3 linked regions of the Oryzias latipes genome follow. The protein of the gene in region 3 interacts with the protein of the main gene of each other region in a pairwise test. Links are inferred from orthologs where the notes say so. Each region holds a gene or a part of one and is shown on either strand. Other genes may lie near its edges. The genes, in order: traf3ip1, DPY30 domain-containing protein 1 and wac.

Region 1 (5,543 bases), on a different chromosome or scaffold from region 3:
GTCTCAATAAAAGTATGTGGTGCCTGCTGGTCAAACGACAGATTTCATGTAGCCCCCTTTCAAGTGGCAGGTGTGGACTTTCAACAAGCTCACTTCTAATTGGAGAGAGTGGTTGCCAAAGAAGTGTTGACTCGAACCAACTCAAGCCAATCACTGCTGGCTCATGTCTGCCTCCAAAAGGGTGACTGAATTGGCTTCATTTCATTGTAAGTCATTCACTCCATCCAGTTCTTAAATACAATCAATGGAAAAAACTAACTTAATAGTAACTTTTCACAAAGAAGTAACTTGTTTAAGGATAATAAATCTTGATTATCTTAAGATATTTGATCTTGAAAACATCGCATTTCAAGCAAAAGGTCCAATTAAACAAGATTTGTTTTTCCTTTACATTTTTACGCTTCGTTTGTGGATGGTGAGTTTGTTTCAAAAAACAGTCCTGCTTCATTTAAGAAAACTGGAAAGTTTCATTTGACTAATAACCCTAGTATGTAATGTTTGAGCCAAAATGATCCTTACATGTGCAATTTCACTATCACTATGAGATGATTGGCATTTTTTTCATGATGGAGAACATATATAAACAAAATTAGGTTTGAATATACATTTCTATATACATTTCTATATGTTCTATTCTATATTTTTATTTTAAAAACTCTAACCAAGACAAATTCTACTAGTTCCATTGGCAGATTCTTTCACCAAAACCAAGGGAAAAACATATTACGTTCCATATTTCCTAACTTGTGAATGATTTCCTGTGTGGTTCTTCTCTTATAATGGGTCCAAGTTACAATTCTATATATTTCCTCCTGGAAATTTTCGCGAAACCAGCAGGAACTGTAGTCCTGAAAAAATATTTGTAACAGAGGGGAAAAAATGTCCTTTCCTGTATAGTCCTCACAGAGAAAAAAGGATGAATACAAAGAAACTTTGTTCCCAAGATGTCAAATACTTTTTCACAAAACAGGAAAGTCTCTAACGAGAATATAAATGAAGAAAATAAATAGGCATACCTCAAAGTTGAGCAACCCAAGGAAACAAGCTCCTTTTGCTCCAGACATCTAGATGTGTGTATCAATTGTGTGTGGTTTGTTAGGGGCCATGCTAACCTGTCTGGTTATAAGCAATTCAGCTTCACTGGAGGAGAACATTTCTGAGGTTTCAGGGAACTGCAATTACACCTCTTTACTCTGTTTGTTTACCTTTTTTTTCATTTTTTTTTTAAGTAAATGCCAATGTTGCACTTGGTTGGAAAGGGTTCATTGCAGTGGCGGTTCTACCCTGAATTACTCCCCGGGCGAGGCCCTCCTCTAGCGCCCCCCCCCCATAGAGTCACTTTGTCCATTTATTGTAACTGAAAATACAGTTAGGAAATATTTAATAAACACAAACAATCTGAAATAAATATTATAAACTACAAATCACACTAATAATACACTAGAATAAATGTAACTGCAGCACTAAGAACAGAAAACACTAACTAAAACCTAACCTTTGTGGCCTTCCTGATGCAAGCTTGTCAATAACGTCATCAAATGAAATCTGCTCCCCCCCCTGAATGATTGATACTAACAACAGCAGGTTAGTGAGTTGCTCCTGAGACATTGGTGATCTCAGGTATGACTTGATCAACTGGAGTTTTGAAAAGCTAACAGCAGCAGCAGCAGCAGCAGCAGCAGCAGCATGCTACCATCACAGCTTATTTAACATTATGAACTAATATACAACAATAAAACACAACAAAAACTTTGTGTTACAGCAGAGCAGACAGACACACGAATCATAACTAATGTTACAAGTTAAGGCAGAGCAAACATTTAAGAATAAATATCTTAAAAATGACGTTATTTGCAATATTTGGGCCTACTTCAGTTTTGGTCATGATAGACCAAACAAGAGATTTTTCCTCTGCAACGTTGTTGTTGTTGTAGGGCAGGTAGCATTCGAATTTAGAAAACGTGCATCTAGCTATGCGATAATACCCTTTTCTTTGTCTCTTTTCTCCTCTTCTTCTCTTTTCTTTCTAAATTGGGCACCAGCTTTGACCTTTTTTCTCCATATTTCAGATGTTTTTGCATTTAGCCTAAATGTCCTGACATAGGTATCAAGTCTGTCGACTAAACCAACTGTCATCTAAGTGAAGAATTTTTTTTTTGTTTCCCCATTTTTTATTTGAAATAACCAAAAAAGCATGATTTTTTTATACTTTTTTTATACCCGCAGCCCCCCCCCCTCCCGTTCGTCAAACATTTCCAGCAGGAGCGCGTGCAGCTGCACCCAGGGGCGCCAATTCGCTACATGGCGGCGCAATTTTTATTTTTATTTTTTCATGAAGCACTGAGCCGCGGCCCGCGACCGTTGCCCCCCTGGAAGAAGATCCAGCCAGGTTTGCGCATGCGTTTTGTGCTCCGTGCTCACCTCAGCCTGCACCCTTCACCCCGCGCCCCCTCCCTTCTCCTTCTTCACCCCGCGCCCCCTCCCTTCTCCTTCTCACACACATTTGCGTCTACTTCTCAAAGACAGCAGGGAGCGCAGCTGCGGGGCGGGGGCGCCGCCAGGTTTCAGGCTGTTACAAACTCTGTGATATAAGTAAACCAATAGTGATGCATAAAGTATTTTACAAGAGCTGAGCCGCTGGCGCCGCCCCTCCGTCATTTTTCCGCCCCGGGCGATCGCCCGTATGGCCCGTGCCTAAAACCGCTACTGGTTCATTGGAAGCAAAGTTCACAGAGAGAAAAGCTCAAACAAATGACAAAACTTAAAGAACTAGAACCCGTACTGCCCTCTAGTGGAGACAGAAAGACTACACCGTCCACAAACCTGTTCTTTAGATCTGAGGGAGGAATGGGGCAGTTCGTGGTTCTTCTTGACCTCAAGGATTTTTTTCACCAGGCCCCCTGGGGAGACAGAAACAGAAACATTCAATTTCTGAGGTAAACGTGGCACGCTGTGCTTTGAAAGGAGAAGCAGAAACGTCTGACGGTGTACCGTGCTCCTCCTCACTGTCCAGTTCTCGAGCGGGTTCCTGTGAACGGGAAATAAAAAATAAAGAAATAAGAATCCAAACAGTCTCCCTATGTTCAAACTGACATGTGAGGCACCTACTCGATCGCTCTCAGGAACGCTGAGGGGTGGAGGGGGTGCCTCCTCCACGAGGAATTGCTCGTCATCCTCCTCCTCATCGTCTGACATCTTCTTCCCGTCCATGATGACAGGTGCTCTGGGCTTGGCACTTGACAGCCTTCAAAACAGGAGCTTCGCTTATTTACAAGCGCATTTTAGACAGTGTTTTCTGAACCTGCTTCTAATTTATTTGGTTGATTACTTTTCAGTAGGACAAACACTAAGAATCGGGCGGCCGTGGTGCAGCGGTGGGGCGGTCGACCCATAATGAAATTGCAGGTTCGATTCCCGCCTTGCACGCCCATGAGAGACACTGAACCCCACCTTGACTCTGGTGGGAGGTTGGCGCCAGTGTTCGGCAGCAGAGCCGCCACCAGTGTGTGAATGTGTGTGTGTGAATGTGTGTGTCTGAGTGAATGTGACTGTAAAGCGCTTTGGGCCTTGAAATGCGCTATATAAGTATACGCCATTTAAGAATAAACGTGAAAACCGTGAGTACTGGATGCCACGAGTGACGTCAGGTTTACCTCTCTGATGGGGGGGCGTCAGCATGACTCTCTTGTCTCCTGACACGAAACCGTGCACTGCCCGGTCGGGCCATCAGCCTACTGATTTACCATAAAAATACATAATTACAAAGGGAAAAATAAAACAGAAAATAAGCAAATATGTACTCTGGGAGTTTCTTTCAAACAAATCAAAGTTTGGGTTGTGAGATGTTTACATGTGTCCCTTGAGTGATGGCAGGTCAAAGTGTAATGTATGAAGTGAACAGACCTGTTGTTGATGTCAGATGACATGGAGGATCCCACAGTGTTCCCATTTTCCTGAGGATGTGAACTTTGGGCAAAACGTGGATCTTCATCTGTCAGTAGAACATGTGGAGCGTTAGTCAGATTATAATGCTAGATCTCCACAGATCCTGTGTTAGCAAAAGGGACTTTAGGATCACTTAATGTACTGCAAAGTCCTAGACTCTCTATAAATGATAGAAACTTCAGATATACCCAAATCTCTTCTTTGTAAACCTGCAGAGATTGAACTTACATTAAAGGAGTAAAATCTAGATACAGCTTTTCAACAAAGGAGTGGATACGTAAAGCGCATTCCAAGGTTCTGCAGTGGTTTAGTCGGTCTCTGGACCTCAGCAAGGAGTTGAAAGTCTGTGTTGCTGTGGCAACAGCCCCAAAACATCACAGCTCTTGAGAAGAATGGACCAAAATCTAGAGTGCATGCAAACCTGGTAGAGACCCATCTACGTTTGACCTCTTCCCAACCATTATTACCACTTACTGTCTGCACTTTCTACATATATTTAAAAATCTTCCACTGTGAATTGTTTTTTTTTTTATCCCGTCTCTGGAATAACTTAAAAAGTCAGAGACTAAACAAATAATTTTGGTCCCACGGTTGTTGCTAATCCTGTGGCTGCATAATTTATATCTACATTTAAAAACTAATGACCTTCAAAATTTTAATATTAGCATATTATTGAGGAACATTTTTTATTCTGTCTTGTGATTACTTAAAAAAAAAAAAAAAACTTTGAAAGTTCAAGATGCCTATGCTAAATTCTGATTGTCCCTCCTGTTTGACACATCCAAACAACCAGACTAATCCAACCAGGAAGTGTTGTCTTCTGGATATATTTCATGTCCACCTATGGCACACATATTCAGTTATGCCAGACTTACTATATTCTGCATCTGGAGCAGTTTTCTTCTGCTGCTAGTTCACATGTGATATGTTCACAGATCTAACGTAAATATATCGGTTGGGAGAACGACATCAGTTACATTTTCCCTTCTATTATCTTTAAACACGCTGCTCTTGAAATATTTGAATTCATGATGCAGCTAATGGCAATACTACTAGGAGCTAAAGTGCAGAAAAATAGATCATCTATTTGACCACACCCTCCTCCATCCACCCATAATGTCCAGGAACATAAAGAACACGATTTTTCACAAACGATGGAATGCAGAATTTTGGTCTTTAGTTTATTAACCGTTAGAAAATGTAAATGGTAAATGGCGCATACAGTACAGACCAAAGGTTTGGACATACTTTCATTCATTTGAATGAGAAGGTACTTCTATAGTAAAAAAAGCTAAACCTAAAACTAAACAGACCCAAAGGGATTGTGGTAAAATTTCCTTTAATATGTTTCTGTATTTGTCTTCACCTTTGCTTAATCTAAATAACAACATTTTGTTTCTCAGTGATTCTAATCACTACTATAAATAATATTAGGGCTGAACTACAAGGAACCATCAAGCATTTAATCAAAAAATGGTCTCTAGTTGGAGAACCGATCTTCAGCATCATCAGGACGGATCACTGATCCGCATGACTGCATCCAGACCACATTAGGCCTTAAAGTACATTCTAAAGGAGCCAAAGAAGATATACTGTAA
Region 2 (6,174 bases), on a different chromosome or scaffold from region 3:
CATACTCATTTTTAAACTCAGATTTAGTATAGATGTAGCTTCTGAACTTTGAGCTCAGTAACAGAGCAGTCTCATTGTGACACACAAGTAAAATGTGGAAACAAGGCAGAGCGATGGGCAGTTTTGAAATATGCAGTCTAATAATAGCTACAGCTTTTTTTTCAATTTAAAATGACTTTATTAAAAGTTTTGAACACTTCTTGAACAAGCCATAAAAGACAATAAAATTACAAAAATCAATATTTGTCCTTTCATGCTTATTGTGAAACAGTGAGGTGGCAATTTTTTATACGATCTAAATAACAAAAACAATATTAACTCATTTTTAATTTACTCCAATAAAATAAAATATCAAAATGTTAAACAAAGATATCAGGAAAAAAATAGCACTTTTTATTTATTTATCTTGTGATCCGTCATTGCTGTCATATTCCGGCAGTCTTCTGATGACTTTCTGGTTCCTTCCAATGACTTACTGGTCCAAAATTTCCATCATGCAGCCTCCTGCAATAAAGTGTCCAGTAAATACCAGCAAACGTTTGCTCCTTTCTGTACTTTTTGAACACACATTTTGATGTACCAAATATTTGAGAAAAACAACAAATACTTACCTTTTCTAGACCGATAGGAGATGGACTTGCTTTGATTTCTCTCATCTCTTCCTCCTTTTCTTCATGGTTGCGGTCAGTTATGTCTTCCTCTTTTTTTTCATGGTGAATTGTCTCATCGGGTTGAGCATCTTCACTCTGGAGCACTGACGAGGACCGGATGACATCTTCAAGTTTCTCAGTTTCCACATCATCAGTCTAAGAAAAAGTAAAGAAATTACATTTAAAAAACACATTTTTTGAAGAGTTTTAGGACTTTTAGCTCAACATAAGAACTATTAAAAGCATTTGTTTTATTAAAGCAGACTGCAATGTATTTCAAACTTGTATTATACAGCATTTTTTAAGAATCAATGTGCAGATCCTGCCTGTAACGCTGGAGTAGATTCCTTAATTCTGTCTCTGCAGTGTGCGTGACTCATCTGGAGTCGATTTTATCAGCAGCCTCCCTCATGCGCTGCCCATTTGCCTCCTGATGCTTAACTATTGAATAGTGCTGTCTGTCTCAGCGTCTGTCTCTAGTGTCTGAGCTAATCTGTGGCTCCTCAGAGGGGGGTTAAAGTTTTAGGCCTTTAAAGACCCACTCTGATGAAAACTGTGTTTTTAACATGTTGTTAAAAACAATGGCCTGATATTCAAAAGATGTCATGATGGCGGACATAATATGAAAAGAAAGTTAAGCTCTAAATTGTATTTTTAAGTACCTCTTTTTTCAAATTGTTGTTAATTGGGAGCAAACAAAAAAATGCAGTTTGAAAAAGATCATATTTGTTATGTATCCAGGTACGTCGGCGTTTTCTTCGTCCAAGCTGGCATGTGGTTCAAAACTGTACATCTGAACAGCTCCGGTATTGCTCACCATTTCTGTTGCACCAGTCATGTTAGGTGGGTGTGAGGGGCTGTAAGCTAACGGGAGAGGGTTTCAAAATACTGGTACCGGTAAGGGGGGAAGGGGTCAAACCACCCACGAATCAGAGGCATATTTCTGATGAACTACTACTGCTCTGTAGAAACTATGTCCCGGAAAACCACAGATTTTAGATTTTTGACTAAAATCTTCATAATTGATTGATACGGCACAATCATAGTCGCAGACGCGACGTTCACCTGAGCCCAGCAAAGCTGTGAATTAACCTAGCTGGGAACGTTTCCTGCAAATGGTGAGATGGCCAGCTTGAATTGTTCCTGTGACTAAACAAACCAGGCTATTGCAGTGCTAAAGAAAAAAAATAAAGAAATATTTTGAAATCTTTCCACTGGGTCCCAGTCAGCTTTAGGATTGATTCTAAAGTTCTTTTCATTTGTTTTTAAAAGTTTAAATGGAGTTGGCCCCTCATTTTTTTATTAGATTTACTTTTAGTTTATGACCCTCCTAGATCCACAGGTGGAGGTGTGCTGGTGGTCCCAAAAGTCAGAACAAAAACCCACGACGAGGCCTGATTTCAGTACTGTGGGCCTTCCATGTGGAACGTCTCCTCAGGCAGGTGAGGGCTTCATCCACTGTGGAGGTTTTTAAGAAAAAAATTAAAACTCATTTTTTTAGTAAAGCCTTTATGTAGTTTTTACTTGTCAACATGTTTTCATTAGATTTTATAAATTTTATCAGCAATTGATGCGCTTCATTTTGATTGTACCTGTGGGATGTGTATGTTTTGGGTCTGTATGTGTTTTAATGTTGTTAATTTTATTTTATCATTATTATTTTTACTATGTTTGCTATTTTAACTACTGTTTTTTATCTTACAATTATCTATTTTATTATGGAAAGCACTTTGAGAGGCTTTGTAGTCGAAAAAGTGGTGCACAAGTAAAGTTGAATTTGAATTACAAGACCACTGGGAATTCTGTGAAAATAGATCAAAAGATGGTTAGAGTAGGTCTTTAAAAATGTCAGCTATGCATTCAGGATGTTTAAAATCAAATACTTTTAAGTTAGCAATAGAAAGTGAGAAAGTACTTTCTCTGTGCCTTTTGATGCATTACTGATCTGCTCCTCTTCTGTGAGATTTTCCTGATGTGATGCTTCTTGGCTGCTTTTTTCCTGATCTTGATCCAGCAGAGCCAGACTTGCCTTCTTCTGCAAATACAAAGGTGATACAGGAACAAATCTAAGCTTACAAGTCTAAAGTTTACAAGTATACATCTTATATAAACCATAAAATGTTTAAACTTTCATTTTGTTTTAAGTAGGGCTCAGCTGTGTGTCAGTAGAGGTACAGACAGTTTCTGTGTTAAAGGTAAAAGGTGAGTCTTTGTTGTTGAGGCCCTACTTATTTTACATCCTGCAGCATAATGAGTTTACGTGCTCTAACACTGTTATCCTCTTAAAACCTGTTTGACGGCATGCAACAACATGGGTATAATCAGAAGCAGCTGGAGTGCAAAATCTAGATCCATCATTTTAAAAAAAAAATGACACTATGGTTGGTGTGTTTACACACTTTTCTAATAGTTTCTAATTCAGCACTGCATTTGCAAGACAACGTTTCAAAAAAATTATGATATATGCAATCACTTTATGTTTTTATAGCGTTTTGTAAATGGAAAACACGGAAAAGTAAACCACGTAATGCTTAAAAACACTGTAAATCAACAACTTTTGTGTTTGCATCCTTTAGTGCCCCCTGCTGGTGAAAACAACAAAACGACTCACCTTCTTCTCGTACAGCGTATTTGAGTTATACTTGTACAGCCAGTGGGCCAAATAAAGGATAGGGTCCACGGGTTTCCGTTCAACCACTTCAGCAAGTCCTTCAGCCAAACATTTCCCCAGATGTTTATTAAGATACTCCGAATCCATCATGCTACACGTTTTCTGATTGTTTATCTACAGAGCAAATATGGAGGCTCGGAGCTATTAAGGCAATAATGACGAACAAAAATGACCTGAAAGCGATTTTATGGATAAAACCTGCACAAATTAGCCAAAATTAACACGGAAATTACCGTATTTTACTGTTTTATGCGGACGGTTGCATCTCCGTGGTAACGGTCCCACACAGTTTAAAGTCTCCCAACCGTTTTTTAGTTCCGCTTTGTATTCGATGTCATTTCTATAATGCAACCATTGGTTGTTTCAGGCATTGTTATTACTACTATAAATATGATGATGGTGATGATGATTTTTATAATAATAATAATAATAATAATAATAATAATAATAATAATAATAATAATAATCCTCAATTATATTAATAACACCCCCAAAAAAAACTACAGACAAAAAGAAATATTTGTGAAAAAACCTCATTGTCATTCATACACACACCCATACACAGACGCACAAAATAGTATTTGTGAAACAGATTAAATATTTTGACGAGAAAGTGATCATTTTGAGATGTGTTTTAAATTGCTTTCCAGTAGTTAAACTCAATAAAACAATATTAAAATTCTTTTGCATCTTTACAAGTTTTGCTTCAATGTGTTATGAAGCAGAAAGAGACATCAGTCACAGAATGTCAGAAATTGGGGGAGGAATAATTCAAAAGACTATGTTAAAAAAGGAATTCATAAAACTAATAGTTATCTTAATCTAAATGGTGCAGATGCTACTACATAGTTATTTAATAAAAGCAGAAATAAAATTGTTGGAAGATTCTATATTCACACTCAAAGAAAAATGTGATTTGTGCATTTTTACGAAATTTTTACCACTAGGTGGCGCAGACCCTGTTAGTCTTACTGACTGCATAATAGATATATTAAAACATAATGTCCTATTGTACAGTCAATGGCTTTATCTACTGTTATGATAAACTGTTCTGTCCTTAAAAAGTGGGCCATTTGGTAATATGTTTAAGTAGAAAAATGGGAGAAATTGCCACTTATAATAACTGAGAAAGATACATGTCTAGAATGTCTTATATATATTTTTCATCTTTTTCCCCTCCATATTACATTACAATTTCTTGCACTGGGATTTTTGCAATTGTTTGGATTTTTTTTTGGTTCTGTTATTTACAGAGTGGCAGTCTCATTATAAAAAAAAACCTTGTTTTAAACAAACTGTTAGAAACAGACCTCAGTTGGAAACTCCCTCTTTATCCCTGTTTTATCGTTATATGACAGACAGGGCTGTGGGTGGTAGTTTGTCCCTCGTGGTGTTCCATAGGTTAATATTCATGGCCAGCACCTGTCTGTTGAGCTGTGATTGGCTCATGAGGCTGATAAATAGCAGCTGTGAGTTCCACCTAGATGCTGGTTTGGCCTTGGTGGGTGAGCTTGACATGTGGGCTTTTTTTTTTTTTTTTTTTTTTTTTTTTTTTTTTTTAAGCTAAAGCTTAATCATTTGAGTCCTTTTACAAAAGTTTTTTAAGCATTTGAGTTTGCAACATTTTAAATTCTATTTATATTAACAGGTGGTGGCATGAGTTCTGACCCTGGGGCATGAGCGGTAACATAAGGGTTTGTAAACATGTATTTGTCCCAGGGAGAACTAACTTATTTTTCTTTTTCCAGCAGAGTTGCCACTGCTGTTTTGCTTAGTGTTTTTAATGTTTAAATCAAGCTTGACACCCTTGCTCTTATCCATTTTTTTAAACTGTTTGCTCATTTTAGTCTCTTGGTGGTTGGACCTGGCTGGAGGTGGCTGCCTCCTCCCTTTATCCTTACGGTAGCTGGTGGGTGCCATGTGTAGTATTGTGTAAGGGGGATTTCCCCCCCCCCCCCATTTCCGGCCTACAAATTAGTGGTGTCCTGCTCAGTTGCACCTCTTCTGTTTTGTATTTTCTTTTAATCACTGTTTGGGTTGTGGTGTGTTTGTGTGAATTTGGGCCCTGAGCAGGTACTCCTGGTGAGGGTTTGGATTAGAGATCTCCCTTGGTGGTGGTCGTCGTGGCTACCCACCGGTGCAGTGGGGCCGAGGCGATCCTGGAGGCAGCCTCCCTCATGCGGTGCTGGAGTGTGGTCCAACTGTCTTTATTTTAACCTTCTCTTTTATGGAACGTGTGTCAAGTTTTTAATTGTATATTTTTAACAACTATCAAACCCAGTCTCCCTTTGGGGGTGCAAATGTAAGAGGGCATTCGGTCACAGTCTGGAGATTACTTATTATGTCTGTCAGTAAATGATCCAAAGTGGTCAAATTGAACATGTATTGTCTTTACTCAATTATCTGTCAGGATCACAGACCAAAACACTGCTGGTGGGACTTTCCTCATATTTTCTAAAGAAATCACAACACAAATACCCAAGAATAGGTGATATGCATAAATGTTGGAAATCTTCCCAGTGTGTTAATTTATACATAAAACAATCATTTTGTATAACCAGAAACTTTTAAGGATAAAAAAAAAATACTTCTAATCTGCAGGAAGAGCTTTGTGAAGGTGCATGGTGAGGTTCCACAGTGGCAGCAACAGCCCTTCAGACTGGACCCCCTTCATTCATTGGCTGTCTTGTGACTGCAAACACGACCAGCTGTGTGGGAACCGGTGGGGATTAATCCTGTTGTTGAACCTGATCATACCTGGAGCTAGTCCTCCTGTTTCACTCCAAGACGCGCCTTTGCGTCAGCAACAGCTGTCCTGAGGTCTCACCCCGGCTGCCACGGGGGCAGAAGTTC
Region 3 (4,595 bases):
ATCCCAGAATCTACATAGTATCTTTTGGATTGATTTGTTAAAAGATTTTAATTCATTATTAGGGCCACTGAAAGCTGTGATTAGCACAAACTGCCAGTAGATGTCACCAAAGTACAGGTCAGCATGTCTGTGATCTATGATACCTCCTGACCTTCAGGTGAATTAAAGCTTTACTCACAACTGCCCTTTAGGGTGGATAGGGCTGTCTGCAGGCAAAAAAGGGGGGCAAACCTGGTAGGGGCATGGGGGGCAGCCTGCATGGTACAGTAAGCTTAATTATGTTTATGCACATTTCTCTAGGGGCATGCTGTGTGCTGTCTTAGCGAACACGTAAACAACATGTAAGGGCAAAACAAGTGACACGCAGGCGAAATGCGCAAGGAGCCCGTTTGAGCTGTACACGATAGGTGCTTGCACGTAGCCTGACTGGTAGAATTAAGGAAATTACACATTTTAGTTTGTGTGGACGTCCTACACTTACCCATCAACTGCACACGCAAGGTCAGTAAGGAGCCAGTACAGTTTCACTCATACATCATAAACGCGTGCAACTTACATTATCCTTCCAAATACTTCACAATACACACGACTATCATACATTCCATTTTTCATGACGTCCCTCAAGTTGGTTGTACGAGCCTCAAGGGAAACGCAAGACACACCTGTGCCTCTCTTAAGATCCCCCACAGGCTCGAACAACCAAAACACCGTGTGACCTATGTTCACACACCAGGAATGCCACGTGTTCTTGAACGCACTGTCAGCATATGGTGTTCACATTGGACGATCAAGGAGGGACCTATTCTTTTCCTAGCACTCAATAGCTCATGTCCGCCACCTACAGTTGGAAGAGGCTTGATACGAAATGTTGAAGTGGTGCACATTTCGTGAATCTTACTCCAGGTTTATTCTTTCACAGCTCTATTCTTATGTATGAAAGATTTGTCATAACTCCAGCCGGACACAAATCGCAATTATGAATTTCTCCTCCATGATCAATTTTCAAACGGTTAGGACTTCCATGACTTAAAGGGGACGCCCTCCATTCGTCACCACCAAATTGGTCATTGTGGTTTCACTGTAACCCTTGTGCTATCCTAGGCACTTTAACGTTGGGAGTTGGGTCATCTAGACCCACAAGACAGTGCGCCAAACCTTTTTTCTTCAATGATTTGTGAACTTCAATGGTGTCCATGGATTACATGAAATCTTTCCACCTTTATACACCTTTGACATGGTAGGGAGAACACGTCAATGTAAGGGTGGGGTCATCTAAGATAGCACAAGGGTTAAAGCGCACATTCCATGGCCATGTTTTAAACAAAGAACCCAAAAACGGCAGTAGAAACGTATGTAGCTATTCACGAACATGATAGTTTTGAACGCGGAAGCTCAAAATGCACGCTTACACAGACTTTTCATTGAAAGTGCGTTGCCGAGGACGCTGTGAACGTAGCTTCAGGCTTTAGTCATTTTCTCACAAACAAGAAAAAAACAAAATGAGCTGAAGCTCAAAGGAGCATTGAACACAACACTGCCTTGGAGAGGCATCCTTTATTTTTTGTCAATATATTTCAGGAAACATTATACAAAGCAATGACATGGTCAGCTCAACTAAATGTTGTGTTGGTGGGCATAAAGCAGCAGCTGACAGTGATGAATATGGGGGAGGAGCTAAAGGATATTGACTAAATCTGGGCCTTTTGATCCGGCGGGATGACAGCAAACATGGACCTGCGGGTGATGAGGCTTAAGACTTTCAACAAGGCACTAGCATATAAACCAAAGCAGACACTCCAACAAAACACTCAGCGCTCACTTTAGTTTAACATGTTTATTACATTACATACATTTCACATTTGAGCTTTGACCCCTGGTTGCCCTGCGTTCGACCGGAGAGGCGCCCCACCTCCACCCGCTTTTGAGCTCCTGACGGGTGATGCATGGCTTATTACTGCAACCCACACGTGAAAGCTGGCCTTCTCTAAAACCCCGCTGCTGTTAGCGACGGTACAAAGGAATGAAGACAGTCAGCGTGCAGAGCTGACGAACAAAAGGGAACAAAACGGAAAGAAAGGAGTTCAACTCCAAAGAGGTCTGCTGAGGGTGAAGGAATGGTCCAAAGCAGCACGCTCCTCGTTTGGAATCCATTGCACCACCAGGAACTGTCTTTTCGTCACCCGTCCTCCTCAAAGTGGGGCGCCAGAAACTGCTGACGGATCACTGAAGCGCTGTGAGCGTTTACAGAACACCTGCACGGAGGAGGCCTCCGCCCACACCCACAGGTGGGAGAGGATCTAAAAAGGTCAAACCGATGACCCCGGTGAGGCCAGCTCCTCCGTTCACGTTGGGCACGGCGCTTCAATGATCCGTGACGTGACAACGGAAGTCTGCAGATGAGTGACGGAGAGGCTGGCGCCTCGGCTGATTAGTCTGGATGTCAAAAGCTTTGATAGGCATGGCTTTCCATGGATTCAATCTACAAAACATATTTACAACATAGATAACATCTACAAGAAATCTACATGTTAATCCACCGTGGTTTTTTTTTTTTTTTTTTTACAAAAACACAGTCTTGTAAATCAGCCCCTCCCTGACCCCACCCACCACACCAGCAGCTCCTTGTCGCCCCCCTGTGGTCTGCCAGCAGGACTGCAGCTCCCGTGTGTTAAGACTGGGTTCGGGAGGAACCGTTTTTCTTGCCGGCTTCCTAGTATGTGCAATGACAACCCCGCTCCCCACAACCTCCGGACACCCCCCCAAACCCCCCACCAAAAGTTCTCACACCATGAAGGAATTCTGGTTCTTCAACTTTTCAAGTTCTTTGATTTGCTGTCTCAAAAACAATATCCTGTAAGGGAGGGGGCAGAAGAACAGAGAGCAGGAGTGAGATGGGGGGGTTTGGACGCAGCAACAGAAAGCGTGCGGACGACTCACCTCTGCTCGCGCAACGTCGCCTGAATTTCACAGACCCGGACGAGGGAGCGCAGGTTTTTGAGCTCAGTGCAGTTCTCCGACATGCATATGCTGCCCATGGTGTGAGCCTCCTCGCGGAGTCTGGACGCCTTTGGGGAGACGGAGGCAAACTTAAATGGGGCGGAGCCAAGAAGGAGGGAGGGGAGGTGTGCGGTGGACACTGACCTGCTTCTCCACGTGTTCTGCGGGCCAGCCCTGCACATGCTTGATGAGGCTCTCATTGAAATGGGCCGCAAGGGAGGGGGTGAAGGAACAGGAGGGCCGGGATGTAGAAGAGGCCGGGGGAGCGGAGGCGGAGTTGGGGGCGTTGCTGCTGGAGGCGACGTGGTTGGAACCTGGAGACGGACTCCTCTGACTGCTACATGGAGGGGAAAAAAACATGCAGTCATACAAGATGTTTCTGCAGAAGCTTTGAAACGGAGGAAAAAACCCACAACCCACAGTTCTGCCGTTTTATTTATATTCTGATTCTGAAGGAAGTTTTACTTTGGAAAACTACTGGATTCTCTCCACTACATCCAACTTATTCTTGATGCAAGTCCAATATCTGCAGCTGCTTTAAACTTTATTAGTACACTGGATTTTATGTGGGTTCCACTAAAATGAGACATGGAGCTTCCCTAACCCATAACTGCTGTCAAAGTAGAAGCTAAATAGAAAAAAAGTCTCCAGAACGGATATTCTCTAAATATAATTGAAGTGAATCCGCTCTGTTTTAGCAGCGTCCTTGTAGCGTTGAGCTGGTGTTACACCAAAAACTGTGAGCTGTCAGATGTTTTTGCTGAATCTCACTACCACCTTCCTCCTTCAGATTTAATGTAAATGATATATAATGACAAGATCAACATTATGCTGTTTTTGTTCTGATTTAATATGAAACCTGATCACCTGGAAGCAGAACAGGGAAATCTCTAGTAAATCTGTTTTTTGTTTTCTCAGCATGTTTGAATTAAAGTTTACAGTTAGATGAAAAAGACGTGTTTACAGCATTAATAAATTACTTTTATGCATTTTCATTTCCTTAAAAATATTCCGAATAGTCTGTGTAAAATAGTGTTACAATTTGTTAAAAATATACGTTTTTTTTATAATACAGTCAACTTGGTCGGTTACATAAAAATTACATTTTGCCCCAGTGTGTGGAGGTATTACAGTTACCGGTATTTAAAATCCGTACATAAGCAGAGTAACATGCACTGCAAGTTGTGCAGCATTATTAAATTTACAATCACTGGTTACAATTTAAACTGGAAGAGATTTATTTATCAATTCTTCAACTGCTTCAAACCAGCAATATCTTCAAAAATAAGGAAAAAAAGGTCTGAACAAACCATTTCAGTTGAAGTGTCATCTAATAAAACTGGATTAAAAAGATATTTATCCTTCCTTTCAATGAAACTACTGTAACCCTCCATTGTTTCTCTTGTTTACAATAAATCTTACGTCATCAGGGCTCCAGACTGCGAGCAATTGGTCGCATTTTGCGACCAAAATTTGAGAGTGTGCGACTGAATTTTACATCCAGTCGCACATGCGTGACCAGTAAATTTGCCTCCCCCACCCTTCGTATTTTTTACGAAGGGTGGTCATTGACGTGGAAGGGGCACGTCAATGATCAA

What was found.
Region 1: the proteins of wac (region 3) and traf3ip1 interact in a two-hybrid assay, tested with the Homo sapiens proteins (2 studies listed by BioGRID and IntAct). The link is inferred for Oryzias latipes from reciprocal best matches to the Homo sapiens genes WAC and TRAF3IP1.
Region 2: the proteins of wac (region 3) and DPY30 domain-containing protein 1 interact in binary tests that used the Homo sapiens proteins (3 or more experiments, as listed by UniProt). The two-hybrid records come from large-scale screens. The link is inferred for Oryzias latipes from reciprocal best matches to the Homo sapiens genes WAC and DYDC1.

What each region holds. Positions count from the first base shown.
Region 1 is NC_019879.2:26,414,279-26,419,821, forward strand, and holds part of traf3ip1 (TRAF3-interacting protein 1), read right to left. Parts: intron 3,992-5,543; coding exon 3,904-3,991; intron 3,735-3,903; coding exon 3,654-3,734; intron 3,245-3,653; coding exon 3,109-3,244; intron 3,029-3,108; coding exon 2,992-3,028; intron 2,901-2,991; coding exon 2,824-2,900; intron 1-2,823.
Region 2 is NC_019877.2:16,025,576-16,031,749, forward strand, and holds DPY30 domain-containing protein 1, read right to left. Parts: upstream 3,623-6,174; 5' UTR 3,555-3,622; exon of another isoform or gene 3,495-3,554; intron 3,436-3,494; 5' UTR 3,412-3,435; coding exon 3,262-3,411; intron 2,686-3,261; coding exon 2,566-2,685; intron 807-2,565; coding exon 612-806; intron 505-611; coding exon 493-504; 3' UTR 373-492; downstream 1-372. UniProt on the Homo sapiens protein: Functions as part of axonemal radial spoke complexes that play an important part in the motility of sperm and cilia. Plays a crucial role during acrosome biogenesis.
Region 3 is NC_019878.2:7,914,969-7,919,563, forward strand, and holds the end of wac (WW domain-containing adapter protein with coiled-coil), read right to left. Parts: intron 3,335-4,595; coding exon 3,142-3,334; intron 3,066-3,141; coding exon 2,938-3,065; intron 2,852-2,937; coding exon 2,782-2,851; 3' UTR 1,540-2,781; downstream 1-1,539.